7 linked regions of the Macaca mulatta genome follow. The protein of the gene in region 2 binds, or shares a complex with, the protein of the main gene of each other region. Links are inferred from orthologs where the notes say so. Each region holds a gene or a part of one and is shown on either strand. Other genes may lie near its edges.

Evidence for each region.
Region 1: SNRPF (region 2) and PLRG1 share a complex: the UniProt entries of both Homo sapiens proteins name them as parts of the minor spliceosome. The link is inferred for Macaca mulatta from reciprocal best matches to the Homo sapiens genes SNRPF and PLRG1.
Region 3: SNRPF (region 2) and PRPF3 share a complex: the UniProt entries of both Homo sapiens proteins name them as parts of the U4/U6-U5 tri-snRNP complex. The link is inferred for Macaca mulatta from reciprocal best matches to the Homo sapiens genes SNRPF and PRPF3.
Region 4: SNRPF (region 2) and RBMX2 share a complex: the UniProt entries of both Homo sapiens proteins name them as parts of the minor spliceosome. The link is inferred for Macaca mulatta from reciprocal best matches to the Homo sapiens genes SNRPF and RBMX2.
Region 5: SNRPF (region 2) and PRPF6 share a complex: the UniProt entries of both Homo sapiens proteins name them as parts of the U4/U6-U5 tri-snRNP complex. The link is inferred for Macaca mulatta from reciprocal best matches to the Homo sapiens genes SNRPF and PRPF6.
Region 6: SNRPF (region 2) and GEMIN2 share a complex: the UniProt entries of both Homo sapiens proteins name them as parts of the SMN-Sm complex. The link is inferred for Macaca mulatta from reciprocal best matches to the Homo sapiens genes SNRPF and GEMIN2.
Region 7: SNRPF (region 2) and SRRM2 share a complex: the UniProt entries of both Homo sapiens proteins name them as parts of the minor spliceosome. The link is inferred for Macaca mulatta from reciprocal best matches to the Homo sapiens genes SNRPF and SRRM2.

The regions. Positions count from the first base shown.
Region 1 is NC_133410.1:163,136,380-163,139,879, reverse strand, and holds part of PLRG1 (pleiotropic regulator 1), read left to right. Parts: intron 1-1,756; coding exon 1,757-1,849; intron 1,850-3,404; coding exon 3,405-3,500. UniProt on the Homo sapiens protein: Involved in pre-mRNA splicing as component of the spliceosome. Component of the PRP19-CDC5L complex that forms an integral part of the spliceosome and is required for activating pre-mRNA splicing.
Region 2 is NC_133416.1:103,187,234-103,191,358, reverse strand, and holds the start of SNRPF (small nuclear ribonucleoprotein F), read right to left. Parts: upstream 2,801-4,125; 5' UTR 2,679-2,800; coding exon 2,676-2,678; intron 700-2,675; coding exon 574-699; intron 1-573. UniProt on the Homo sapiens protein: Plays a role in pre-mRNA splicing as a core component of the spliceosomal U1, U2, U4 and U5 small nuclear ribonucleoproteins (snRNPs), the building blocks of the spliceosome.
Region 3 is NC_133406.1:116,809,743-116,813,242, reverse strand, and holds part of PRPF3 (U4/U6 small nuclear ribonucleoprotein Prp3), read left to right. Parts: intron 1-332; exon of another isoform or gene 333-338; 5' UTR 339-380; coding exon 381-525; exon of another isoform or gene 526-563; intron 564-1,098; exon of another isoform or gene 1,099-1,178; coding exon 1,179-1,309; intron 1,310-2,976; exon of another isoform or gene 2,977-3,072; intron 3,073-3,500. UniProt on the Homo sapiens protein: Plays a role in pre-mRNA splicing as component of the U4/U6-U5 tri-snRNP complex that is involved in spliceosome assembly, and as component of the precatalytic spliceosome (spliceosome B complex).
Region 4 is NC_133426.1:136,863,525-136,867,663, reverse strand, and holds the start of RBMX2 (RNA-binding motif protein, X-linked 2), read right to left. Parts: upstream 2,801-4,139; 5' UTR 2,786-2,800; coding exon 2,781-2,785; intron 2,570-2,780; coding exon 2,454-2,569; intron 1,002-2,453; coding exon 950-1,001; intron 1-949. UniProt on the Homo sapiens protein: Involved in pre-mRNA splicing as component of the activated spliceosome. As a component of the minor spliceosome, involved in the splicing of U12-type introns in pre-mRNAs.
Region 5 is NC_133415.1:116,870,815-116,874,314, forward strand, and holds part of PRPF6 (pre-mRNA-processing factor 6), read left to right. Parts: intron 1-914; coding exon 915-1,033; intron 1,034-3,500. UniProt on the Homo sapiens protein: Involved in pre-mRNA splicing as component of the U4/U6-U5 tri-snRNP complex, one of the building blocks of the spliceosome.
Region 6 is NC_133412.1:112,231,110-112,234,609, forward strand, and holds part of GEMIN2 (gem-associated protein 2), read left to right. Parts: intron 1-2,159; coding exon 2,160-2,273; intron 2,274-3,500. UniProt on the Homo sapiens protein: The SMN complex catalyzes the assembly of small nuclear ribonucleoproteins (snRNPs), the building blocks of the spliceosome, and thereby plays an important role in the splicing of cellular pre-mRNAs.
Region 7 is NC_133425.1:4,059,704-4,063,203, forward strand, and holds part of SRRM2 (serine/arginine repetitive matrix protein 2), read right to left. Parts: intron 3,196-3,500; coding exon 2,923-3,195; intron 2,048-2,922; coding exon 1,940-2,047; intron 1,743-1,939; coding exon 1,578-1,742; intron 1,057-1,577; coding exon 979-1,056; intron 550-978; coding exon 487-549; intron 395-486; coding exon 362-394; intron 179-361; coding exon 128-178; intron 1-127. UniProt on the Homo sapiens protein: Required for pre-mRNA splicing as component of the spliceosome. As a component of the minor spliceosome, involved in the splicing of U12-type introns in pre-mRNAs.

The sequences.
Region 1 (3,500 bases), on a different chromosome or scaffold from region 2:
TTTGCATTGCTTGCCTGTATCAAAATATCTCATGTACCCCATAAATATATTTCTACTGCGTACCCACAAAAATTAAACACAAAATTTTAAAAAAGAAAGTGTACATAGTAGAAAATGTACAACTACACGTAATTTAATATATATTTTCCCCATAAATATATTTCTACTGCGTACCCACAAAAACACAAAATTTTAAGAAAGTGTACATAGTAGAAAATGTACAACTACACGTAATTTAATATATATTTTAAAATTTTTATTTTTCAAATGATTGTACAGCAAGAGCTTTTTGTTTGACATACAGGTCTAATGAATTGTAATAGATGTATTGATTTGGGTAACCACTACCACAATTAGGATATAGACATTACGTCACCTCAAAAAACACCCCTGTGCTATTTTTTTGTAGTTATATCTTCCTTCACCTCTGACAATCACTGATCTGTTTTCTATCACTATAGTTGTCTTATTTTTTTTCAATAATTTCAGTTCTAATTTATTTTTAATTTTTATGGCTAACATAATAGATGTGCATATTTATGGGCTACATATCAAATCTGATACAAGCATACAGTGTGTAGGCCAGGTATGGTGGCTCATGCCTATAATCCCAGTACTTTGGGAGGCCTAGGCAAGTGGATCTCTTGAGTCCAGGAGTTCAGTACCAGCCTGGGCAACACCACAAAATCCCGTCTACAAAAAATACAAAAATTAGCTATGTGTGGTGGTGCACACCTGTAGTTCCAGCTACTCCAGAGGCTGAAGTGGGAGGATCACTTGGGCTCAGGAGGCGGAGGTTGCAGTGAGCCGGGATCACACTGCTGCACTCCAGCCTGGGCAACACAGTGACACCCTATCTCAAAACAAGAAACAAAGAAAAAAAAGCATACAATGTGGAATGATCAAATCACAGTAATGGGGATATTTATCTCCATGGTAATTGGGATATTATTTCTTTGTATTAGGAACATTTCATTTTACTCTTCTAGTTATTTTGATATATACAATAAATTATTCTTAGCTATAGTCACCCTATTGTGCTACCAAGCTAACTAGCCAAACTAGTGCTACCAAACACTAAATCTTACTCCCTTTATCTAACTGTATTTTTATACCCATTATCCACTCCCTCTTTATCCTCTGCCTCCCTACTATTCTTCCCAACCTCTATTAGCCATCATTCAACTCTCAAGATCATTTATTTTTTAGCTCCCATATATGAGAGAGAGCATGCAGTACTTGTGTTTCTGTGCCTGGCTTATTTCACTTAACATAGTATCTTCCAGTTCCATCCTTCTTGTTGCAAATGACAGAATTTCATTCTTTTTAATGGCTGAGTAGTATTCCATTGTGTGTATGTACCACATTTTATTTATTCATTCACCTCTTGATGGACACTTAGGTTGGTTTAGCTTTGTCTTTTTGACTATGTCATATAAATGGAATCATACAAAATGTGCTTTTTGAGATTGGCTTCCTTCACACAGCTTAATACCTTTGTGAGTCACTGAAGTTGTTGCAAGTATTAATAATGTATTCCTTTTTATTACTGAGTAGTATACATTATATAGATGAGCCACAATTTGTGTATCTATTAACTTGTTGAAGATAATTTAATATTGTAAAATATAACAGTCAAATTATCTTTTAAATTTATGATTTGAAGATGGGAGGGCAATTCAAACTCAGGCTGCAGTTAAACTTAAAAACATTTTAACTTGTATGTTAGCCGCCCGTTCTACTTTGTTTTATACAGGTTATCAGTGGGCATCTTGGCTGGGTTCGATGTATTGCTGTGGAACCTGGAAATCAGTGGTTTGTTACTGGGTCTGCTGACAGAACTATAAAGGTAATAATGAGGGAAGAAAAAATAAACATGACTTTGTGTTTGTCATGTAAGTTTAATCAGTTACTATTTCCTGTGGCAGGAATTGCTATTGCAGTTCCTCTGTTATTTTAGACCTGAATAAGGAGTAAAATTTATCATTTATACGAGTAAGTGTTCTAAATAAATATCTGTTTGAAAAGTGGTATTTAAACCACTTTTTCTTTACCTGCTGAATACCTACCACTAATTCCTTTATACTTACATTTTTGTCTCCAACTGGTTACAAAATTAAGAGCGTGCTCATTCATAGAAAATGTGGAAAATATAGAGAATTATGAAAGTACATAGACCTGTGTATAATCCTACCATTGTTAGATACTTGGATAAGTTTCATTTTAGTATTTATTTCTGTAAGTATAAATGCCTTTACTTCTAAGCTCTTTTCTTGTGTGTGTATCTTTTAAAAATCATTCTTAGTATGTAATTTTGTATCTTGCTTTTTCCCTTAACATTTTATCAAAGGCATATTCCTGTGAAAAATTTACTATCTTTTAAAGTGCCTGCATAATATTGTATCATTTGGATAGTCTATAATCTGTTTTCCTATTGTTGGATGGTAGAGTTTTTAGTCTGATTTTCACCATTACAAGTAATGCTGTTAAGTTTTGTATATAAGACTTTTTCTGTGTTTTAAATTATTTTGTTATGGTAGAGTTCCCTAAATGTAATAAATGGGTCAAATATTTTTGAAGCCGATACCCAAAGTACAAATTACTTTCCAAATGGGTGAATGGATACTTGCAGTGTATGGGAGGATCCTTTTCAGCACATTGGTTGTACATTCCTTTACAAATATCTAATATGGTAAGCAAAAATGGATACTTAATCTTTTTTTAAAAGTTTGTATAGGCTGGGCGCAGTGGCTCACGCCTGTAATCCCAACACTTTGGGAGGCTGAGGCGGGCAGATCATGAGGTCAGGAGATCGAGACCAGCCTGCCTAACACGGTGAAACCCCGTCTCCACTAAAAAATGCAAAAAATTAGCTGGGCATGGTGGTGGGCGCCTGTAATCCCAGCTACTTCAGAGGCTGAGGCAGGAAAATGCCGTGAACTCAGGAGGTGGAGCTTGCAGTGAGCTGAGATCGCGCCACTGCACTCCAACCTGGGCGACAGAGTGAGACTCTGTCTCAAAAAATAAATAACTAAAAAGTTTGTATAAAATTTCTAATGAGTTTGAACTTTTTCATATCTGTATTTGCTGCTTTTAGGGTTTCTTTAAGTTGTTGCCATCCTCGGTTAATTTAATACCATACTTTTCATACTATTATTATCAAAGATTCCATTTATATAACAAGAAGGTTAACCTGTCATCTAATTGCAAATATTTTTCCAGTTTGAGCATGCCAGTTTTTTTCTTGCTTTTATTTGGAGAGGAGTCATTTTACAAAATTTTTTATTTTTACATATTCGTTATCTTTTTCCTCTTCTCTTTGAAAACTCAATTTTAATAATAAAGATTCTAAAATTTTGCTTTGCGGTAACCAGGGAAAGAAAAAAAATATTCTTTGATTGCAGATCTGGGACTTGGCTAGTGGCAAATTAAAACTGTCATTGACTGGGCATATTAGTACTGTGCGGGGCGTGATAGTAAGCACGAGGAGCCCATACCTG
Region 2 (4,125 bases):
TTAAAAATGGTTAGAGTGGCAAAATTGTAATGTATATTTTACCACAATAAAAAGAAAATTAATTACAAAAAAAACCCCACCAAAACACATGGCTGAATCATTTACAGAAACTCATTTGACAGACATACAGTCAGTTCAATTTCTTCGGCAGATGTGTCTTTCCCCTGAAGGAATGAATTTCCTCAATAACTTTGGTGTTGTGCCTTTAGCATCATTCATTAAAAGACTCATGAATTTCACTTGAAAACTTTCTTTCAGGGCTAAATGATGAGAAATGTTTTGTTTTCTCCAGCAAAGTAGTGTGTTTCCCTTACAGTATTATTATGAATTAAATGTCTGAGCTCTTCTTACTTTAACTACTAGGAATAAAATCTGTGGCTGAATTCTGGTTTAAGTCCATGTCTTGTACCTAGTATATCATAGTATCCTCCCTGGCTTTGACTTTATTTTTTAATTTTGCCGTACATTTGTCAATTTAATTGTATGTATTCTTATTAGTCAGACTAAACCTTTGAGCAATAAGGTGAAGCAAACTAAATGCAATGTTATGACCTTTACAGCTCTTTAGCTTACCTGCATGTTCATGTAGCCATCTACAGATACCAGATAGCCCTTGTACTCCATTCCCCACTTAAGTTTCACCATCACTGGCTTTCCTGTTAGTCCATTGAGGAAAGGTTTGGGATTGAGGGGTAAACTCTGCACAAAGAACAAAAAAGGATCCAATTAATTATTTTTCCTCCCACCACCAACTCTCTTCTACTAAATACCAATATTTTGTGGTATGCAAATGAAGAAAACTCTTGACTCATTATTTTAGTACACAATTTTCACTTTCATTTATTGGAGAGTACCAGGGAAATTTAAATATCCAGTTAGCCAGTATCACCTTTAACCCATCAAAACAAAATACTCACTATTCACTTAAGATAACACCGACTACATACATCACTTACTGTTCTGAGCTCTAAAGAAACAAAGATAAAGGCACTTAAAAAAAAAAAAAATGCGGGCCAGAAAGGGTGGCTCATATCTGTAATTCCAGCATTCTGGAAGGCCAAGGCAGGGGGATCACTTGAGGCCAGAATTTCAAGACCAGCCCAGGCAACATAGTGAGACCACCTTCTCTACCAAAAATAGTCAGATGTGGTGGTGCACACCTGTAGTCCCGGCTACTAGGGAACAGAGCAAGACCTTGTCATAAATAAATAACAGAGTCCCTGTCAAGAAGTTGGAGATGGGGAGGGGGGCTCCTCACATACAAATAATTATACTGCATATTGCAACATAATAAGAGGAGATATACTAGGCACAAGGGTACCGAAGCAATCCAGGGAAAAAAGGAAAGGTTGCCTGAAATAAGTTAACCTCAGTTTTAAAGAATGAGAATTTATTTCCAGAGCGGGAAAAAATCCTGTTCCAGGCAAGGCTAGCTACTTATGTAAAAGGAGGGAAGAGTGAAGCAACAAGGTGATTTTGGGGACATACAATTCAGCATTGTCAGTCAAAGTCCCAAATATAAGACTACAGAAGGAAGCAGAGGGCAGATGACGCTTGACAGTCTTTAACTGTGGAAGCTAGGGCTAGGTCCTAAATGACTTTGTCACTAGCACTGCCTCTTATAGCAATCACTTAAAGTTTGCTCAGCAAACCATTAACATCTCCAGTGAATTCGGTTTTTGCCTTTTTCTGCTCACTCACCAGTCAAAGAAAGAACAGAACTAAGAAACTTGGCTACTAACCCCCTCTAACATAAACATATTCGGAGTGACTTGATGCGGCGATTACTCCAATAACCTAATGGGTCTCCAGTTTTCATTCTCCAATTTATTATCCACCACAGCAACATGATTTTTTAAAGTGCACATCAAATTGTCATATTTCTGCTTAAAATGATTCAATGGCTTCCAACTCAATCATTTTCAATTGATTTGGAGTACAATCAAAACCTCCCAATACAGCCTAAGAGGTCCTGTCCAACGCCTGCTCCTCCGACACCATCTCGTAACCACTCTTCCTGCAAGTGGCTGTACCTTTTTGTCAATTTCTCCAACTGACCAAGCTTTCTTTCCGGCCGCAGGTCTTATGCGCCTATTCTCTGTGCTCGGTACACTCCTCCTCCTGCTCTTTAAAGGGTCTATTTCATGACACTTAGGCTTCAGGTTAAATTCCACCTCCTAGGGAGGCCATCTCTGACTAAGCCTCTAAATGTCTAACGCGCACCCTCACAGCCTCCTGTCTGCATTCTTCTTAGCACTTATTACTTGCAATTGCATATTTGTTATTTTTTGACTGTCTGTCTTCCCCAACCGAGTTAAACTAGAGCATGGCCGTATCATTACTTTCATGCAATGAAAGTGAATTTTGGAGTGTGGTTAAGTGGGAAGTGCAAATTCTCTTTGAGTTTTACCCCGACCCTGTAGCCACAAATAAGAATATCCCAAGCCCGGATTCAAACAAAGAGGAGAAGGCACGGGCACTCCTAGAAAAAGAAAGGCATCGGGAGGAGCACGCGCCTCAGAAATCCTAAAAGCAGAGTGAAAGAAGCTGGCGACCGGGTGCGCGGCGCCTCACGCGGATGAATGGGAAACGCGCGAAGCAACCACTAGGCCCCGCGAGGTGGTCTCCCTCCTTCTCTTTCTCCCCGCTTCTCCCGCCGTTCTCGTTCTCCTTACCATCGTAACCACGGCCGAATATTGCAGGCTACTCACTGCCGACCAGGCTGCCGCTTGTCCCTCGTGACTACAGCAGGTACCCCAGGTCCCGAGCCGCTGAATTTCAAGAAAAATGGCCGCCAAACAGGAGTGTGACCTTTCACCTCCCACCACGGCCCTTCCTGCCTCTGTGATTGGACGAAAAGAGATGCGCGCTGATTGGAGGAGATGGTTGGACCAGTATCTCCTGGCAACCAGCAGCGGCTTGAGTTTGCGCCTGGCCGGCTGCGCGCGGGTCTTGGGAAACCCGCTCTGAGGAGCAAGGTGAGGCAGCCAAGGACTGGAGGCAGGCCGGTGTTGTAAATGTGCGGTCTGGGAGAGGCTGTGTGACGGATGTGACTTCTCCCCAACTTGGTTAATGGGGATTTTACTTTGTCTTTTTACACCCGTGAGAATGTTCAGGATCCCAGAGTTCCTTCCTCACTCTTCCAACAGGTTCCATGATTTGGGGGCGCCTCTGCCGCAGGCCGTTTCTACCTGAGTATTCTCTCTTCTGCAACACCCATTTCAACCCCTTTTAAAGGAATTCGGGGGTAGCCAGACAAGACTAGGGGCGGTGAAACGCACCGAAGGGAGTCGGATACAGAATTTATTTTAAACGAGGTCAGGTTGTGTCTGGGATACGGTGTCATGTCCCCCCACCCCCCACGACCCCGCCGGCCCCATCTTTCTTTTGCATCGCCAGCAGAGACTGGCACGGCCTTCTTACGTGCATTTGAAATTACCTAAGGGCGTAAGCAATATTTCCGCTGTCACGGATTAAAACTTTCGACGTAACGGTGTTATCTGAATCTCACTGGTTTTTGTCGTAATCCTAGTGAGTTCGGCTCACTCTGATCTGAAATGCTAAATGCAGTTCTTGGAGAACACGCCCTTTGGGAAGTAACGCTTTTTTGCGGCCCTGAAGAGATGGATTTGAGGTTGAGGATGAAATGTTGGTTGTTGAGGCACTGTGGAGCAGTGGGCAAGACTTTGGAGAGGGCCTGCATTCGGAACCTGCGTCTATCAGGCGCAGCCGGTGTTGGGCAGTGTCTTAACCCTCAGGGCCACTGTTTCCACGGCAGGAACGCGGCTTTAAAAACGGAACCATCCTCAGCGTGGTTGCGAGAATTTAACCTAAAACGGGGCTTGGCCTTGTAAAAGCTCAGTGTTTCACATAAGTGTTGAACACTGACAAGACAGTCATTGTCAGTGTAGTTTTTACCAAACAGTTATTAGATTTATTCACCCTAAACTTAAGTGGATTTCTTCCTTAGTTTGTATATTGTTTCATGAACTTTAAGTCTTTGTACAGACTTTGAGTTCCTACTATGTGTCAGGCTCTTTCAACAATTGTGGAAATCTTACCTTACCGTCTGATTCGGGGTGACAGCCCCGTTTTAGAGATGAGGAAGCAGGCCCAGCAGGTAAC
Region 3 (3,500 bases), on a different chromosome or scaffold from region 2:
TTTTTTTTTGAGCCAGAGTCTCACTGTCACCCATGCTGGAGTGCAGTGGTGTGATTTTGGCTCATTGCAAGCTCCACCTCCCTGGTTATTCCCCTGCCTAAGCCTCCGGAGTAGCTGGGATTACAGGCTCATGCTACCACGCCCAGCTAATTTTTTTGTATTTTTAGTAGAGACAGGATTTCACTCTGTTGGCCAGACTGGTCTCTGACTCCTGACCTCAAGCAGTCCACCCACCTTGGCCTCTCAAAGTGCTGGGATTACAGGCATGAGCCACTGCACCCAACCCACTTTAGTTTTTTCTTATTCTCTAACTTGTCTCTTTTTGTTTTTAGGTGTAGTATTGAGTCCAGTTTGAGCTATTGTTCTCTTTTTCCTGCAAAATGGCACTGTCTAAGAGGGAGCTGGATGAGCTGAAACCATGGATAGAGAAGACAGTGAAGAGGGTCCTGGGTTTCTCAGAGCCTACAGTGGTCACAGCAGCATTGAACTGTGTGGGGAAGGGCATGGACAAGAAGAAGGCAGCCGGTATGTACCTTTCTGCAGCTTTTGTCTTAACATATAGGGTGACCCCAAACACTGAACTTCCCTAAAATTCTCTCTGTTGGGAACATCTAAAAAAAGGGCAGGCCATATTTTGTTTTCATCTGTATTATAATGAAAATAGGCTAAATCATAATTTGCTTTTTCTCTTATTGTTTATTTTTTATGTTATTTATGATAGATTTTAAATCTTTGGCTACCATACCGAGTCACCTAAGTTAGATTTACTTAGGAAGTATGCTTAAGTCAGATAGGCATATTCAGATTCAGATTGACATCTCAACATATAAAAGTCTTTATGAAATACATAAAAAAGCTTGAAGGAGGTAGATTTTGTTAATGGTAGTCTCCTGCAACTTGCTATTTGGGAAAGGTTAGGGTGGTTATTCATCTTAAACTTGATGTTCAACGTAAACAGGTTGCTCTGACTGTACGACTTCCCACTCCAAAAAATTATAACTATTTTCACCTCATAGGGCAAGGTCATTCAATGTAAGAGAGATGGGAATCGTAGAAAAAAACTTAAAATTTGTTTCACTCCTGGGAATAAAATTCCAGTGTTGGTACCTGTTATAGGCCTAGTATTAGACTATGTAGTCTTACCTTTCCAATCCTACCACTGCCTTTCTTCCTGTCAGATCATCTGAAACCTTTTCTTGATGATTCTACTCTCCGATTTGTGGACAAACTCTTTGAGGCTGTGGAGGAAGGCCGAAGCTCTAGGCATTCCAAGTCTAGCAGTGACAGGAGCAGAAAACGAGAGCTAAAGGTAGGTTACAATTTACTGTCTAATGAGCTCAGGACTGTTTTGAATGGTAACAGAGTTGCTGAGCTTACCAGTTCACACGTTGATATCCTCTATTTAGAGCAGCAAATGTTCAAGAGAGGTACTTAGACATTAAAGTAGGAGAGGTGAATTTGTGTCATCACCATCTGAACTACCTAAGTTCATGGGTTTAAATATCCAAATAAATAATTGGTAGCTTTGTCTTTTTTTAAATAACAGGAGTTTTGGTTCTCATGTTTCTCCATATTTCCTTTTTTTCCTTCTTACCTATAAACTGATTGCTCTAAGATTTTATGTTTGATTTATTTGAGGCCTAATAAGTTGTTTTAGAATGTGACTCCACTGGTACCTGAGCTGTAGACCTCCTTGTTGCCTCTTTGTAGAGGTTTCTCTGCAATGCACTTGTAGATAGGATACCAAAAAAGTAACTATTATTTATTATATTCTTGAGAGCTTACCATTTGCTCTATGGCATATTGCTGGTCCTCTGGTGCCAGAAGTGAAACACTTGGAGGAGTTGTCAGTACCCCCTTAACTACTACACTTTTTATTCTGTAGTTGCTGACTGATCCTGGCCTTTTTCAGTATTAGCAGTATCAAGTAGTCTGTCTTTCTACTCATTTCCCAGTATCTCTCTTTAGAAAAAAAAAATTCTGCGACTCCTATCAAACCTTCCGAAGTTCTTTTGATACCTTGGCTATCCCATTGCTTTTCCTGAGGGAAAAGAGTGAATATAATGTCTGCTTGGTTCCCTGGCCAGGCTATGGAACTAAAAAAAAAACAGAGAGATTTGTGCCCTTTGTGTTTAGAGCATTGTAGGGTGATCAGAGAAGGAGAGATAGTGCTGGCCTTAAAACAGTTTGTAATTTGCCAGGCACTATGGCATGTGCCTGTAATCCCAGCTACTTGGAAAGCTGAGGCAAGAGGATCTCTTGAGCCGAGGAGTTGCAATTTAGAAGAGGCAGGAGTATCACAAAATATATATTTACGTATTATAAAATCTAAGTAGCAGTTTCATGTAAATTTTAGGGTTGGCTATAGAATTTCAGACTTATGTTGAATTTTGTTATATTTAAGGGGGAATGATTGAGCCACAGTATACACAGATCTGTACAGTGAAGATTATGTCACGATAGGGCATACTGCTTTGCTTTTTTTTTTTTTTTTTTTTTTTTTTTGAGGCTGAGTCTCACTCTGTTGCCCAGGCTGGAGTGCGGTAGCACAATCTCGGCTCACTGCAACCTCCACCTTCCAGGTTCAAGTGATTCTCCTGCCTCAGCCTCCTGAGTAGCTGGGATTACAGGCACATGCCACCATGCCCGGTTAATTTTTGTATTTTTAGTAGAGACGGGGTTTCACCATGTTGATCAGGTTGACCTCGAACTCCTGACCTCATGATCCGCCCGCCTCGGCCTCCCAAAGTGCTACAATTACAGACATGAGCCTCTGCATCTGACCAGTAGGGCATACTTCTGTATGAGTGCTGAGGGCATGCTGTGAATGAAGTGACTACATTGGGTGGGATTAATAAAAATGGCTTCTTGAAGGAGGTGTCTAGATAGCTTTGGGATACGGGTCCCATTTTTGGTCCATTCAAGTCCCCACCCCACACAATATATTATGGGAGAGTCCTTTTTCTTGAACTGTAGGAGTTCCAGGAAGCGCTCGCCCCTGGCCGAGGATATGTCCTTGCAAAACACGAGCCCTCCTAGTGAAGAGGGGATGTCACCCAAAGCCTACCACCGGTGTGTACATTTGCTTTTTCCCATTGTCCCTTCCAGTTGGCCACTCTCGGTCCTGTTAAATTCACCTTGCAAATTAGTCATCATATTTGAGTTTCCATTGTTTGATGAAAACAAAGTGTTAATGGGGATTACTGAAGAAGAAAGAGAAAGCCCGTGTCCTGGAAGAGCTTAGACTTAGTTGGGAAAATTATACTAACATTGAAATACTTAACACTTGGCAAACAGAATATCAACAGTGTAATTTAACCTAATATGAACCAAGCTCTTACATGATAAGAGAATGTGAAACAAAAAGTTTAATCAGAGTGGGATAAGGTTGTAATGAGGAAAACTTCTTGGAGGAGGTGAGTTTTAGGCAGGATTTGGAACAGGGGTTGTGGAAAAGTTGAGAGAAATCATAAATGTGGGCAGTAGCATTTGCAAAGACC
Region 4 (4,139 bases), on a different chromosome or scaffold from region 2:
TGCTGCCCCATAAGTGGCCCAACCACTCAGCCAGGGCCCTCTGTCCATGGATGGCCCTACCATCCTGCCATAGCAATCCCTCTGCCAGTGTATGCTACCTGTGTTTGCTTGGCCAGCCCCTTTTGCCATGGTCTGCTACCTGTACATGCTGTCCAACTTCTCTGAAACAGTACTATGCTCTGAAGGCCTACAAAACCCAAATGTAGTGGTCCTTTGCACCTGTGCCAAGATCCTCTGGCCCTGTGGACTAACTGTGCTGTTTACCTCTGGGGTTGCAGGCCAGCTGCCCAGCCCCTCTCCTACTAGCTGCTACTACCAGTATGAGCCACCAACACCCTCTCCCACCAAATGCTGCTGCCAACACCTCAGCAGAATGAAGAATATACAGATCTCCTATTCATTCTTGTTCCTCGTCAGGCTGTGATTCTCAGCCTCCAGGTAGAGATTGGCTTTGCTCACTAACCTTACATTCATTGAGAATCAAAGAAAGCAAACTACAACCTTCTTTCTGTTTTTCATCCCAATTCCTCTGTGGTTTGCCCCAGTCGTATGATGCCACACAGGCAAGGACCAGAAGGGCCCTGTGACCATGGGTTACCCCTAGTTTGCAAGAGCCCAAGGAGGCGTACCAATATGGAACCTTCCTGAGGGTTCCAGTCTGTTCCAGTCTAGGCCCAGGCTGAACAAACCTCAGTGAAAAACAACAGAAATAGACTAGAATCCCCAAGATGGCCTCCCAAATTAACAAACCTCTTGGATCTCCCACAGGAGAACATTCTAGAACCATGTCCTGGGACTGATCTAGACTAGAGCAGAAGCTCCAGCCCTCCCCATGCAGGGACGCCATTCAGCCTAGAGTGAAAATAAGTGGTTTTTGTGATGCCACAAAATGCATTACAGAAAAAAGTACTCTGTCGACTCAGGAGGCAGGAAATGAAAGGGGACTTACTGTGAGAACACACAGATGATGTCCCCTTCAGTCAGTTCATAAGGAAGCCCTCCTAGAAAAGAAAACCACATTTCAGTTCCACCAACATTTACCAAGTGTTTACTACGTACCATGCACTAGGCCAGGCACTAGGGGTGCAAACAGTAAGCAACAGGCCCTGCCCTTAAAGAAATCAAGTCTGGGCTGGGCACCATGGCTCACGCCTGTAATCCCAGCACTTTGGGAGGCCAAGGCGGGTGGATCACCTGAGGTCAGGAGTTCGAGACCAGCCTGGTCAACATGGCGAAACCCCGTCTCTACTAAAACTACAAAAAAAATTAGCCGGGCGAGGTGGCGGGCACCTGTAATCCCAGCTACTCAGGAGGCTTAAGCAGGAGACTCGCTTGAACCCAGGAGGCAGAGGTTGTAGTGAGCCGAGATCACGTCACTGCACTCCAGCCTGGACAACAAGAGTGAAACTCCAACTCAAAAAAAAAAAAAAAAAAAGAAAGAAAGAAATCAAGTCTGATGCAATGACAGAAGTACATGTAAGGTGCCAGTAGAACAGGAAAAGGAGTGACTAATTTTGAGTGGAAGTCAGTGTCACCACTAACAAAAGTAAACTGATCACTCAGTCCTCCTGGCACCCAAAATCCTATGGGCAAAGCAGATAGTTTCCATCACAAACCTCTGCTTCCACAAACATGTTGAATTCATCTGCTCATTACCCACAAATTTACAGCTATGATACAAAATTAGTCTACATATGTCATGATTAACCCCACCTACACATAGACAAAGGTTATAAAGACACTGTTAAGCATTTCCTAGGGAATAATTTCCCTTCCAAATGTTTCTTTCCTCATCTGTAAGATGGGGATATTAGCAGGTAACTCGCAAGACTGTTATAAGAGTTAAATAAAACGATGCATATAAAGTGCTTAGCACAACGTTTTTACAATAACCTCTTTGAAGCATCAAACTTGTACAATTACTGGTTGTGATATAAAGTGAATACAGTAATGGTAGTGTGGCCATGGTCAGAAAGCAGGAGCTAGAGGAGCAAAGTGAATTCTGCAAGGGAAGGGGAATGGGGGAGGGCGGTGGTAGCAATATGGGGCTGTGGCTAAGACCATGAGTTCTAGAAAGCTATAGTTCTGCCTGTTGCGGTTATTAGCTATGTGACCTTAAGGAAGTCCCTTAACTTCTCTGCACCCCAATTTCCTCAGCTGTAATAACGGGTCAGGGGGTGAGAGAGAAATAACAACAGTCCCTGAACCTTAGCACAGCAAATGGCAAACAGTAACTCTCATGAGCACTGATTTGGCTGGGAAGGAAAACTAAAAATGGGGCAGAAAAAAAAAAAAAAAAAAAAAAGATGGAACACGGATTCCCGGGCAGACAGCAGATGGATATAAAGGAGGGCAATGAATGTAAGCAGGAGTGAAGGGTGAAAATGCTGAAATAGTCGGACACCGAGCAGGAGAATCTTGGGAGCACTGCGGAAGAAAGATGTGCACCTCACCCAGGAAGATCCAGGCGCTGTCCTTGTACTCGGAGTGCCAGGACACTTTATCGGCCACCCCAAGCTGGACCTCTCGTTCATTCAGCTCGTTGATCAGCTTCACCTTAGTTAAAGGACTTCACGGTGGCGGGGGGGAGGGGAGGCAGAAAAGCAGACAAGTAAATGCTAACCGGCCGAAGCTGAAGAAGAGCAAAACAAGGGGACGAGCTGTGCTAGTCCCCGCGCCTCTCCCGCCCCTCGACCCCGCAGACGCTCTACCACCCCAGCCCCGGTAGACCACCCTCAGCGGCCCGCTGCTCGTTCCTCAAAAGGAAGCTGACGCCTTACTTCATCTCCGCGGGCTCGCGCTCAGCATTCAGGAATCAGCGCCCGGGAAAGGCAGCGCCACGCATGCGCGGCCCCGGCGCCGGTGGCTCGTCGAGTCGGTGACCTCGCGCCGGAAGAGCTGGGGCGTACCGGGGCGTGGCGCCTGCGCACTAGAAGCCTTCCGCGTTCTTTGCAGTTACCTCTTGTAGAAACGGTTTTTCTCTAATTTTTCGCTTTTTCTCCTCTGTGAAATGGGGTAAAGGCACGAGCCTGGGCTGTTGCAGGACCCCCAGCTCTTGAACGATATCGGAAACTGGTTAGATTAGCTATAAATATTTGCTGAATGAACGGAATAAGCAGCCTGATGTGGCGACTTTAGTCTCAGCCCTCGCTCCCAGTCCAGAGTCCCACTTGGACCTTCGCTCCTAGTCAGTTGCTCACGCACAGACCCATCAAAGCATCCCTGTCATGGCAGAAAAGTGAAGAAGATAGGTGAAAAGGTAAATCTTCTGTTGTTCTTATCCCAATACATAGGCAACAGACCAGTGTGCCTCTATAGGCTGAATTGAATACCTACAGATTTGCATGAGAGCCGCTGCACTTACTCTTTTCCATAGGCTCTCTCCTAGTTGAGCAGGAGACAGAAATTAATATTGTTAAATTAATAGCTAGCAAGTGAGCAGATGATGTACTGTATGATACTAGAGTATGTGCTAAGCAATTTACATGTATTGTCTCTCCACCCTCACAACAACCCAATGAAGCAGATAAAATTACAATTCCTGGCCGGGCGCAGCAGCTCATGCCTGTAATCCCAGCACTTTGGGAAGCTGAGGTAGGAGGATTGCTTGAACTCAGGAGTTTGAGACCAGCCTGGGCAACATAGCAGAACCTGTCTCTAAAATAAAGGAAAAAGGGGGGGGCCAGGTGTGGTGGCTCACACCTGTCATCCCAACACTTTGGGAGGCTAAGGCAGGTGGATCACCTGAGGTCAGGAGTTCAAGACCTACCCAGCCAACATGGTGAAACTCTGTCTCCTCTAAAAATACAAAAATTAGCTAGGCATGGTGGCACACGCCTGTAATCCCAGCTACTCGGGAGGCTGGGGCAGGAGAATCACTTGAACCTGGGAGGCAAAGGTTGCAGTGAGCTGAGATCGCACCACTGCACTCCACCCTGGGCAGCAGAGCGAGACTCCTTGTTTTAAAAAAAAAAGAAAGAGAAAGTAAAAGAAATTTCCACCCTCGTTTTGTAGAGGAAGAAATGAGGCTCAAATGAATAAATTAACTAGAAAGGTACTAGAGTACCTGCACCCAGTAGGTCAGGTTGATTCAATCAGTCCTTACTGAACATCTAGATTTGTCCTGTGCAGCTAAGGTC
Region 5 (3,500 bases), on a different chromosome or scaffold from region 2:
TTTTGGCTTTAGTGCTTGCCCTCTAAAAAGACATCTACAGAAAAACCTCAGCTGACTGAATATCGATTAACTGTCTTCTAACATGTGACGCCTTTCCTCTGAGGAATATTTAAAAAAATAATTTTAGTTTTGAGGCCAGGCATGGTGGCCCACACCTATAATCCCAGCACTTTGGGAGGCTGAGGCAGGCAGATCACCAGGTCAGGAGATCGAGACCATCCTGGCTAACACGGTGAAATCCTGTCTCTACTAAAAATACACAAAAATTAGCCGGGCGCGGTGGCGGGCGCCTGTGGTCCCAGCTGCTTGGGAGGCTGAGGCAGGAGAATGGTGTGAACCTGGGAGGCGGAGCTTGCAGTGAGCTGAGGTCGTGCCACTGCACTCCAGCCTGGGCAACAGAGTAAGACTCCGTCTCAAAAACAAACAAACAAAAAATTTAGTTTTGAAATAATTTTAAATTTGCAGGAACTTGCAAAAATAGTGCCAAAAAAAAAAAAAAGTTTCTGCATATCTTTCACCAAGCTTCTCCCCATCTTACATGACCTCAGTGCAGTTATTGAAACGAAAGAGTTAACATCGACACAGTACTGTTAACTAATCTGTCAGTCGTATTTGCATTTCATGTGTTTCCACGAATGTCCGTTTTCTGACTTAGGCTCAGTTCAGGAACCCCCGTTGCATTTTGTCATGTCTCCTTGGTACCTTCCAGTTGGAGCGGCTCCTCTGTCTTTCATGCCCTTGACACTTGAAGAGTAGTCACCAGTTATATTGTAGACTGTCCCTCAATTTGGCTTCGTTGGCTGGAGAAAATAATTTAGCAAGTATTTCACAAGTAGAGATGATCTCTGTTTCTGCTGGTGGGGATGGTGATGGAGGAAAAGCTGACCTCTCTGCACATGTCGTTTGCTTCTCAGTTTAATGGCTACGCTGGGAGCCTCTTCTCAAGCGGACCCTATGAGAAAGATGACGAGGAAGCGGATGCCATTTACGCAGCCCTGGATAAAAGGATGGATGAAAGAAGAAAAGAAAGACGGTAAAAGAGATTGTTGCCTTTCACGATGTTTATCCAACTTTAAAAAAAGTTTTGAGGCCAGGCGCAGTGGCTCACGTGTGTAATCCTATCACTTTGGGAGGCCAACGTAGGACGATAGCTAGAGCCCAGGGGTTTGAGACCAGTGTGGGCAACATAGCGAGACCTCATCTCTACACATAATTTAAAAATTAGTCAAATGGTGCACACCTGTAGTCCCAGCTACTTGGGTGGCTGAGGTGGAAGGACTGTTTAAGCCCAGGAGGTAGAAACTGCAGTGAGCCATGATCATGTCAGTGCATTCTAGCCTGGTTGACATAGTGAGACCCTGTTTCCAAAAAAAAAAAAGTTTTGAATTTTTTTTTTTTAATTAGAGGTGGAGTCTCGCTCTGTCGCCCAGGCTGGAGTACAGTGGTGCGATCTCGGCTCACTGCAAGCTCCGCTTCCTGGGTTCACGCCATTCTCCTGTCTCAGCCTCGTGATCCACCTGCCTCGGCCTCCCAAAATGCTGGGATTACAGGCATGAGCCACCGTGCCCTGCCTTTTTTTTTTTTTTTTTGAGATGGAGTCTTGCTCTGTCACCCAGGCTGGAGTGCAGTGGCGCAATCTCAGCTCACTGCAAGCTCTGTCTCCTGGGTTCACGCCATTCTCCTGCCTCAGCCTCCTGAGTAGCTGGGACTACAGGCACCGCCACCACGCCCGGCTAATTTTTGTATTTTTAGTAGAGACGTAGTTTCACCGTGTTAGCCAGGGTGGTCTCGATCTCCTGACCTCGTGATCTGCCCGCCTCGACCTCCCAAAGTGCTGGAATTACAGGTGTGAGCCGCTGCGCCCGGCTGTTTTGAATTGTTTTATACTCAGAGAAACGTTGCAATAGTATGCTTTTAGGCCACCTGAGGGTCTTGGTGTGTCGTAGCCATGCTTGGATAAGCCCTGGGCTGTTACGGAACAGCCTTAGGGGCTGGGGGCTGCAGTGGAGAGCTTAAGAACTCTTAAGATTTTCCAGAAATCAGTAGAATTTTGTGGATTACTTTTATGATACATCAGGGTTACCATCTTTGAAAAGGGCTCACTGACTGTTGATTAATCTTTTATATGTTGAGTAATTTGCAAATGAATTAAAGATGTCAAATGACACATACAAGCTACCAAGATTGAACCATGAAGAAATCCCAAACCTGAGCAGACGAATAAGTAGTGAGATCAGAGCTGTAATAGAAAGAGTCCTAGCAGAGAAAATCCCAGAATCTGATTGCGTCATCGCTGAATTTTACCAAGTATTTTAAGAAGAACTAGTATCAATTCTACTCAAACTATTCTGAAAAATAGAGGAGGGAATACGTCCAAACTTATTCTACAAAACCAGTAGTACCCTGATGCCAAAACCAGACAAAGACACACTGAAAAAAGAAAACGTTAGGTCAGTATCCCTGATGAACACTGATGCAGAAATGCTCAGCAGAATACTAGCAAACCATATTCAACAAGACATTGGAAAGAGGGTTCATTGGCTGGGCACAGTGGCTTATGCCCGTAATTCTAGCACTTTGGGAGGCTGAGGTGGGCGGATCTTGGGTCATCTGAGGTCAGGAGTTCAAGACTAGTCTGACCAACCTCGTGAAACCCCGTCTCTACTAAAAGTATAAAAATTAGCCGGGCATGGTGGCGCATGCCTGTAATCCCAGCTACTTGGGAGGCTGAGGCAAGAGAATCGCTTGAACCTGGGAGGTGGAGGTTGCAGTGAGCCGAGATCACGACATTGCACTCTAGCCTAGGAGACAAGAGCAAGACTCCATCTCAAAAAAAAAAAGATTGTTCATCATGACCAAGCGGCATTTTGCCCAGGGGTACAAGTGCAAGGGTGGTTCAACATATGCAGATGAATCAGTGTTACACGTTTTATCAACAGAGTGAAGGAGAAAAACCATACAATTTTTTTTTTTTTTTCGAGATGGAGTCTTGCTCTGTTGCCCAGACTGGAGTGCAGTGGCACAATCTCAGCTCACTGCAACCTCTGCCTCCCGGGTTCAGGTGATTCTCCTGCTTCAGCTTCCTGAGTAACTAAGACTACAGGCGCCCGCCACCACGCCCGGCTAATTTTTTGTATTTTAAGTAGAGATGGGGTTTCACCGTGTTAGCCAGGATGGTCTTGATCTCCTGACCTCGTGATCCGCCTGCCTTGGTCTCCCAAAGTGCTGGGATTACAGGCATGAGCCACTGCGCCCGGCCTGATCATTTTAATTGATTCTGAAAATGCATTTGATAAAATTCAACATTCCTTTATGATAAAAACTCTAAGAAAACTGGGTGTAGAAGGAATATACCTCAGGCTGGGCGTGGTGGTTCATGGTGGCTCACATCTGTAATCCCAGCACTTTGGGAGGCTGAGGCGGGAGGACTACTTGATCTCAGGAGTGTGAGACCAGCCTAGGCAAGAGGGTTAATACCCTTTCTGGCTGGGTGCGGTGGC
Region 6 (3,500 bases), on a different chromosome or scaffold from region 2:
TTCATGCCTGTAATCCCAGCACTTTGAGAGGCTGAGGCAGGCAGATCACCTGAGCTCAGGAGTTCAAGACCAGCCTGGGCAACATGGCAAAACCCTGTCTCTATTTAAATTATTTAAAAAATGAAGTACACTCTGATGGCAACTGTGTGAAAACATAAACATTTGTTTATTAATTGATATAAGTAAGCATGTACTATATTTAATAATTAGGATATTGAGTACTAACTGAAACAGAAACAGTTTCTGACCTGATGGAATGATAGGAAAAAGTAGATACCTTATTCCAAGACAAGACAATAGGGTTTAACTTTGTAGTGGTCTCATGTTCATCATGAGGTTTTATTTTATTTTATTTTATTTTTTATTTTATTTATTTTTTTGAGATGGAGTTTTGCTCTCATTGCCCAGTCTGGAGTGCTATGGCACAATCTTGGCTCACTGCAACTTCTGCCTCTCGAGTTCAAGCAGTTCTCCTGCCTCAGCCTCCCAAGTAGCTGGGATTACAGGCACCCGCCACTACACCCAGCTAATTTTTCTATTTTTAGGAGAGATGGGGTTTCACCAGATTGCCAGGCTAGTCTCGAACTCCTGACCTCAGATGATTCATCCTAAAGATTTAATGAAAGCTACTTATCCCTGGGTGGGGATAATACACCTATGCAGAGTAATGTGCAAGGTGATATGTACAAATAAAAGTTGTTTTGTTAAGAAGGTTATATTGAACTGAATGCTTCTCCCAACTAGTCCTGAATTTTCTGTCTGGCAGCATGAGTAGATCTGTTTCTTCTTTGATTGGACAGCCCTTCAGATATGTGAAATATGTAATCACATCTCTTTACATGGGATAAACATCCTTCATTCTATTAAGCATTCTTGGTGCATTTTTCCTCCATACTTATTGCTGTCTTTATCATCCTCTTTTGGACACACCTTTGTCTGTCAGTGTCCATTAAAGTCTTGTCCAAACTAAACACATCTTGGCTGGGCACTGTTGCTCACACTTGTAATCCCAGCACTTTGGGAAGCCAAAGCAGAAGAATTGCTTGAGGCCGGGAGTTTGAGACCAGTCTGGGCAACATAGTGAGACAACTATCTCTACAAAAAAAAATTAAAAATTATCAGGCATGGTGGCGCGTGCCTGTAGTCCCAGCTACTCAAGAGGCTGAGGTGGCAGAATTGTTTGAACCCAGGAGATTCAGGCTGCAATGAACTGTAATCACACTTCTGCACTCCAACTTGGGCGACATAGCAAGACCCTGTCTCAAAAAATGTAATAATAAGAAAAAGCAACATATCCCACATATTTTGTAGCCACTTAGGCACTATGTTTGTCAGGGCTGCCATAACAGACTAGGTGGTTTAAACCACAGAAATGTATTTATTTTCTCACAGTCTTGAAGGCTGAAAGTCCAAGAACAAGGTGGCAGCAAGGTTGGTCTCTCTTTTTTTTTTTTTTTGAGGCAGAGTTTCGCTCTTGTTGCCCAGGCTAGAGTGCAATGACACAATCTCGGCTCACTGCAGCCTCCGCCTCTCGGGTTCAAACGATTCTCCTGCCTCAGCCTCTGGGTAGCTGGGATTACAGGTGTGTGCCACCACATCCGGCAAATTTTTTTGTGTGTATTTTTAGTAGAGGTGGGGTTTCGCCATGTTGGCCAGGCTGGTCTTGAACTCCTGACTTCATGTGATCCGCCTGCCTCAGCCTCCCAAAGTGCTGGGATTACAGGCATGAACCACCACACCCGGCCTCATTTTGGTCTCTTCTGAGGCTTTTCTCCTTGGCTTGCATAGGGCCACTTTCACCATGTCTTCTCACGTGGTCTTTCCTCTATGTGTGGGAGTCCCTGGTGTCTCTTTGTGAGTCCAAATTTCCTCTTAAAAGGACACTAGTAAGATTGGATTAGGGCTCACCCTAATGGCCTCAATTTAAATTAATCACTTCTTTAAAGGCCCTGTCTCCAAATACAGTCACATTCTGAGGTACTGGAGTTTAGGGTTTTAACATACAAATTTTGGGGACAGAGATTCTCCCCATAACTGGCACCCTATCTTTGGGTTGAGGTAATGGGAATATGGAAGGCCTTAACTTCTTTTTTTTTTTTTACTGTTCAGTGTAAAAATTAATACACAGGAATAAATCAGTTTTCTTTTTTTTCTTTTAGCCAAAATCTGAAGATGAAGAAGGCTGGAAGAAATTTTGTCTGGGTGAAAAGTTATGTGCTGACGGGGCTGTTGGACCAGCCACAAATGAAAGTCCTGGAATAGATTATGTACAAGTAAGGGCTGTGTGGATAAACAGAACAAAAAGCGTTTTAATTTTGGTGCATCACTTAATATAAGGGGTCAGCAAACTCTACCCTGGGCCAAGTCCAGTTCATGGCCTTTTTTATATCCATGAGCTAAGGATTGTTTTTAGGTTTTTAAAGAGTTGTAAAAAAGAAACAAATAATATGTGGCTGAGACTTTATGTGGCCTGCAAAGCCTAAAATATTTGCTGTCTAACTCTTGATAGAAAATGTTTGGCAACCCAGACTTAGTTTATTAGCTCTTCAACCTAACAAAGCAGCTTAGTTTCTGAAACAGTTTACTGTGACTTTTTTTAGGTTGGCTTCATATCCCTTATGTTTGACTTGGTAATCATTTTATGAGTTGGATAAGATTCAGGGTGTTTTAAAATGACAAGGCATCAGGCAAACAGTGTTATGAGTAGCCAGGGAAAAAATGGAAATTGACACAATTAGGTGCTTTAAAATGCATAATCACATAATATCATTTCATGGGCCTGTAAAAAAGTAAATAATATATTCTAAAGATGAAATTTTAAGGATATCTTTAAATTCATGTGGCTGTAGTCATAAGTTATGTAGCCAACTCATTGTCCTTCAGGATTTACCTGCCCCCAAGTTTGCAGGTGTTCCTTTAAAATCCAGTGTATGCCTCTGCATTAGCGCTTACTCCCTATAGCATGTCGTTCTCTTCGGTTCAACAGGTATTTATTATTTGCTATATGGTGCCACATTGTGTTTTTCCCATTTAAAACTAATTTTTCCCAAAAATGTAAAGAGCCCCAAGAATCAATAAAAAGACCAAGAATCACCCCTCCCCTGCCCAAGAAAAAACAGCCAAAGGATATAGATACCTCACAGAAAGGAAATAAAATTATTCTTATATGACAAGATGCCAAAAATCACTTGTAATAGAAGTATAACATAACTATGCCAAGGTGCTATTTTTCAGGTAACATATTGGCAATGAAAGTTTGATACACCATATTGACAAGAGCTGGGAAAACAAGCACTCTTAGACATGGTACAGTAGTGTAAATAGACTCAAATCTTAGGGAAGTTAATTTGATACACTTTCTATGTAACCAATTGATCTTTTGGATGATATCCTTAATATATGCTACATTTCAAAAATAGTTTATATATATATATATATATATTTTTTTTTTTTTTTTTTTTTTGAGACAGGGTCTTCTGTCATCCAGGCTGGAGTACAGT
Region 7 (3,500 bases), on a different chromosome or scaffold from region 2:
ACCTGCCCTGGATTTTCCTCACCTACCCCTCAACCTTTTACCAGTTAGGGACATAACTGACTCAACCCCTTCCCACTAAGGTGGTGTTCACTTACTTTCTAAGCAAATTCCCCACAAATTCACTCACCGCTTTCGCTTTTTGTCCTTAGATTTACGTTTGCTCTTTGGAGTGGGAGACCTGAGAAATAAGGAAAGATTGTTAAAAGTAACTTTTTTAAAAAAGGAAATAAAACCAAAAGTGAAATGGAAAGAGTTAGGGAATGTTAACAGGAGAAAGATCAAGGTATTGAGCTTCACTTCAAGAAAAAGAAATCACCACTCTACATGCCACTGTGCCCCCAATGAGTTAAAGAGCTCTTACCTATGCTTACGCTTCTTGGACTCGGATTCTGACCTGTCGGAAAAAAGAGAAGAAAAAACATAAAAAACACCTCTGCCTGAATTCAGCAAGCCTTCTCCAATCACTCAAGTACTCACACCTCGTACCTGTGCTTCTTCTTCTTTGAGCTTTTCTTTCTCTCCCGTCGAGGAGAGCTGCTCTCTGACCTGCTAAAGATGGATTCAGAAGCAAGATCATTCTGCTTGGCTTCTTTCCTGGCCCTCCCACTTACAATCTCTCCCCTAAAAAGGTTTCTAAAACACTTGAACATCCTAATAGCACTAATGCCCCAGACCTAAGCCCAGGACTTCTTTCTTTCTTCTCCAACAAGTAACTCCTTGAGTCAACAAACCTCAAAATGAAAAAGGAAATTCCAGAATCCATAATGTTGCTGGCTGATCTTAATTGGCAACACTGCAAACTCAACACGTCCCCACTGCAAAACTCAGATATTTCTTCAAGGTGAGGCCTCAATGGTAACTCCCTCCTCCTGACAACTATCTCCTGCTTTGTGGAAGCCAGAACTGTCCACTTCCAGAGAGAGAGTACACCACAGGACTGGTCCTCTGGCTAGCAAAGTAACTTTCCAATTAACTTACCGTCCTCTATCTTTCTTCTTTTTCTTCTTCTTCTGCTTTGGGGTTGGTGAGCGAGAACTGCTAGACTCCCGAACAAGGCTGGGGAAAGATGAAAAGCAGCAGAGATGAGCGCTAGGACAAACGTTCCTTTCTTTTCTTTAAAAGACAGTCTCAAAAAAGTATTTTAAAAAATTTTAAAAATAGTCTCGCCCTGTTGCCTCAGCTGGGGTGCAGTGGCAGCATCACAGCTCACACTGTAACCTCCAACTCATGGGCTCAAGAGACCCTCCTGCCTCCACCTCTCTAAGTAGCTTAGACTACAGACACGTGCCACCACCCAGCTTTTTTTCTTTTTGTAGAAAGGGGGTCTCACTATATCGCCCAGGCTGGTCTCAAACTCCTGGCCTCAAGTCATCTCCTGCCTGAGCTTCCCAAAATGCTGCAATTACAGGCGTGACCCACTGTGGCTAGCCCTTGGACAAATTTTCTTGGACACCTCAACTTCAGAAAAACAAAATCTGAAGAGTTTGGGAAGAAATCAGTCCACAAAAGGAAAAAAATAGAGCAAGGATCTTACAATCAAGAAAAGAAGCTGACAATGGTTTCTTGGCCTTGTATACCTGTAAGGTTTGGGAGGCTCAGGAGCCGGTTGTTTAGCTTCTCGGGCACGACGCTGAGGATCAAAAGAGCTGCCATCTACGTAAGAATCACTGATGCCAAAGGCAGCACGGAGTCTTTCATTCTTCTTCTCATTCAATTCTGCCAACTGGTGAGTCTCCGTGACCCTAGAGAAAAGAAGGGCAAAAGTCTGAAGGAAATATAAAGGACAGAGCCATATTCAGAACACAAGTATAAGCAGGAGCCAAATAAGACATGGAAAAGGCAGACGAAAGCAGGAAGTCCCACGTAAGGAAAAGGACGGGAGCGGCAGCCAGCAGCCAGAGTAGAGTCCAGAGTCATCGAGGGAGAGTGCAACACTCACGCTGGCCTCTGCCCTGGGGTCTCCTCCTTGCCCCCAGGGTTCACATCCTTCTCCAGCAACATGAGTCGAAAGGTCGCCACTTTCTCCTGAATTTGCTGTTCCTCGTACCTGAAGAACAAATCCCTTCAGGGTTAAGCTTGACAGGACACTTTCCCCAGTCCCAGGTTTCCATTTCCCTCATTCCCCAAAGGGGCCCTTCCCTCTCCATGCACACACAGAAGTTTTCACTCGCTGTCACCCAAAAGTTCCTTCTCTTCAGTCTAATCTTTTCCCATTATCTTTCTTCCCTCTACCTACTACTCCCGCTAGAACAGTGGATTTTAAATATGCTACACTTCAGGGGCCAAAAGAAAAAAATTAAGCAGGGTTTCAAGTGCTCCTCCCCAACTTCAACAAGAACGTGCCTTTTATTTCCTGGGATTCCAAAGTGAGGGATACTGTATAAAAGGGTCACCACTGCTGAAGTTTAAAACCACTGCTCTAAAAGAGTTTTCTGCCTTAATGTGCTCCTTTTCCAAAATTTCCCTTCCCAGCCCATGATTCCCTCTTCAAATGTTCTTCTAATTCCTCTTTTCCTCCTCTTTTCCTGCCCATGCTACTTTCCAAGGTCTCAATCCTTATATCCATTCTTCTTCTTTTCTACCAATGACAACACCTATCAGCTTACCTAGCTCCTCTATCTGGTTTCTGCTTTCCCATCTCTCCCCTGAAACACATTTTTGTTCCTCAACGGCCCCTCCCTTCTCCCATGTGCCTCCATTTAATCCCTCAGGCTCCCATCTATGCCTCAGACACACAGCCTTCTCATTTCCCACTCTGCACTGTCCCTTAACTGTTTTCAATTATCTAGAGCTCATTTGCCTCCTCCCCTACCACAACTCCTTGCCAGGACTCTTTCAACCACCCTAAGCTCCCTACATCCCACCTAACACCCCCAGCTCTGCACTCATTCAGTGCTTGACTCTCCCCCAGCTCTCCCTCACCCCTGCTCTTCCATCATCTCCTCCAGCTCGAGGCATCGCAGCTCGACGCGCCGCTTGCGCTCGTGGTCCAGGATGTCAGGATTAGGCCGCTTCACCAGGGCAGCCTCCAGGCGCCGCAGTTCCTCCTCTCCCTTGTAGTCAGGCCGCTCACCCCGGCGGCCCCGCACCAGGGACAGGTTGCGCTGGACGTAGCCGTTGGTGCCGCTGCCCCGGGGCGTCGGCAGCCCGATCCCGTTGTACATGGCCCCGTGCCCGGGGGGGGCACCACCGCTCCTGAGGGGGAGCGGGGAGACACGGGTCAGGCCCCTGGCCCCCAACTAACCACTTACCACCCCACACCCAAGTCCCTGCTCTCCTTCATCCCTATTTCAACATTTATCTTCACACTAAGTCTTCACTACATAATGCTCCACCATCCTCCTGGTCTGCCAAAAAAACCACTTCTTCGTCCTTCCAAATTTCCTACCAAATCACAGCCCAGTTCTTACAACCTTTCTCTCAATGCCCTTGCACAGAATTCTAAATAATCCCTCCCTGCACCTAGATTTTCTTCTTTTTCCACCCTAGGCAAACAAGCA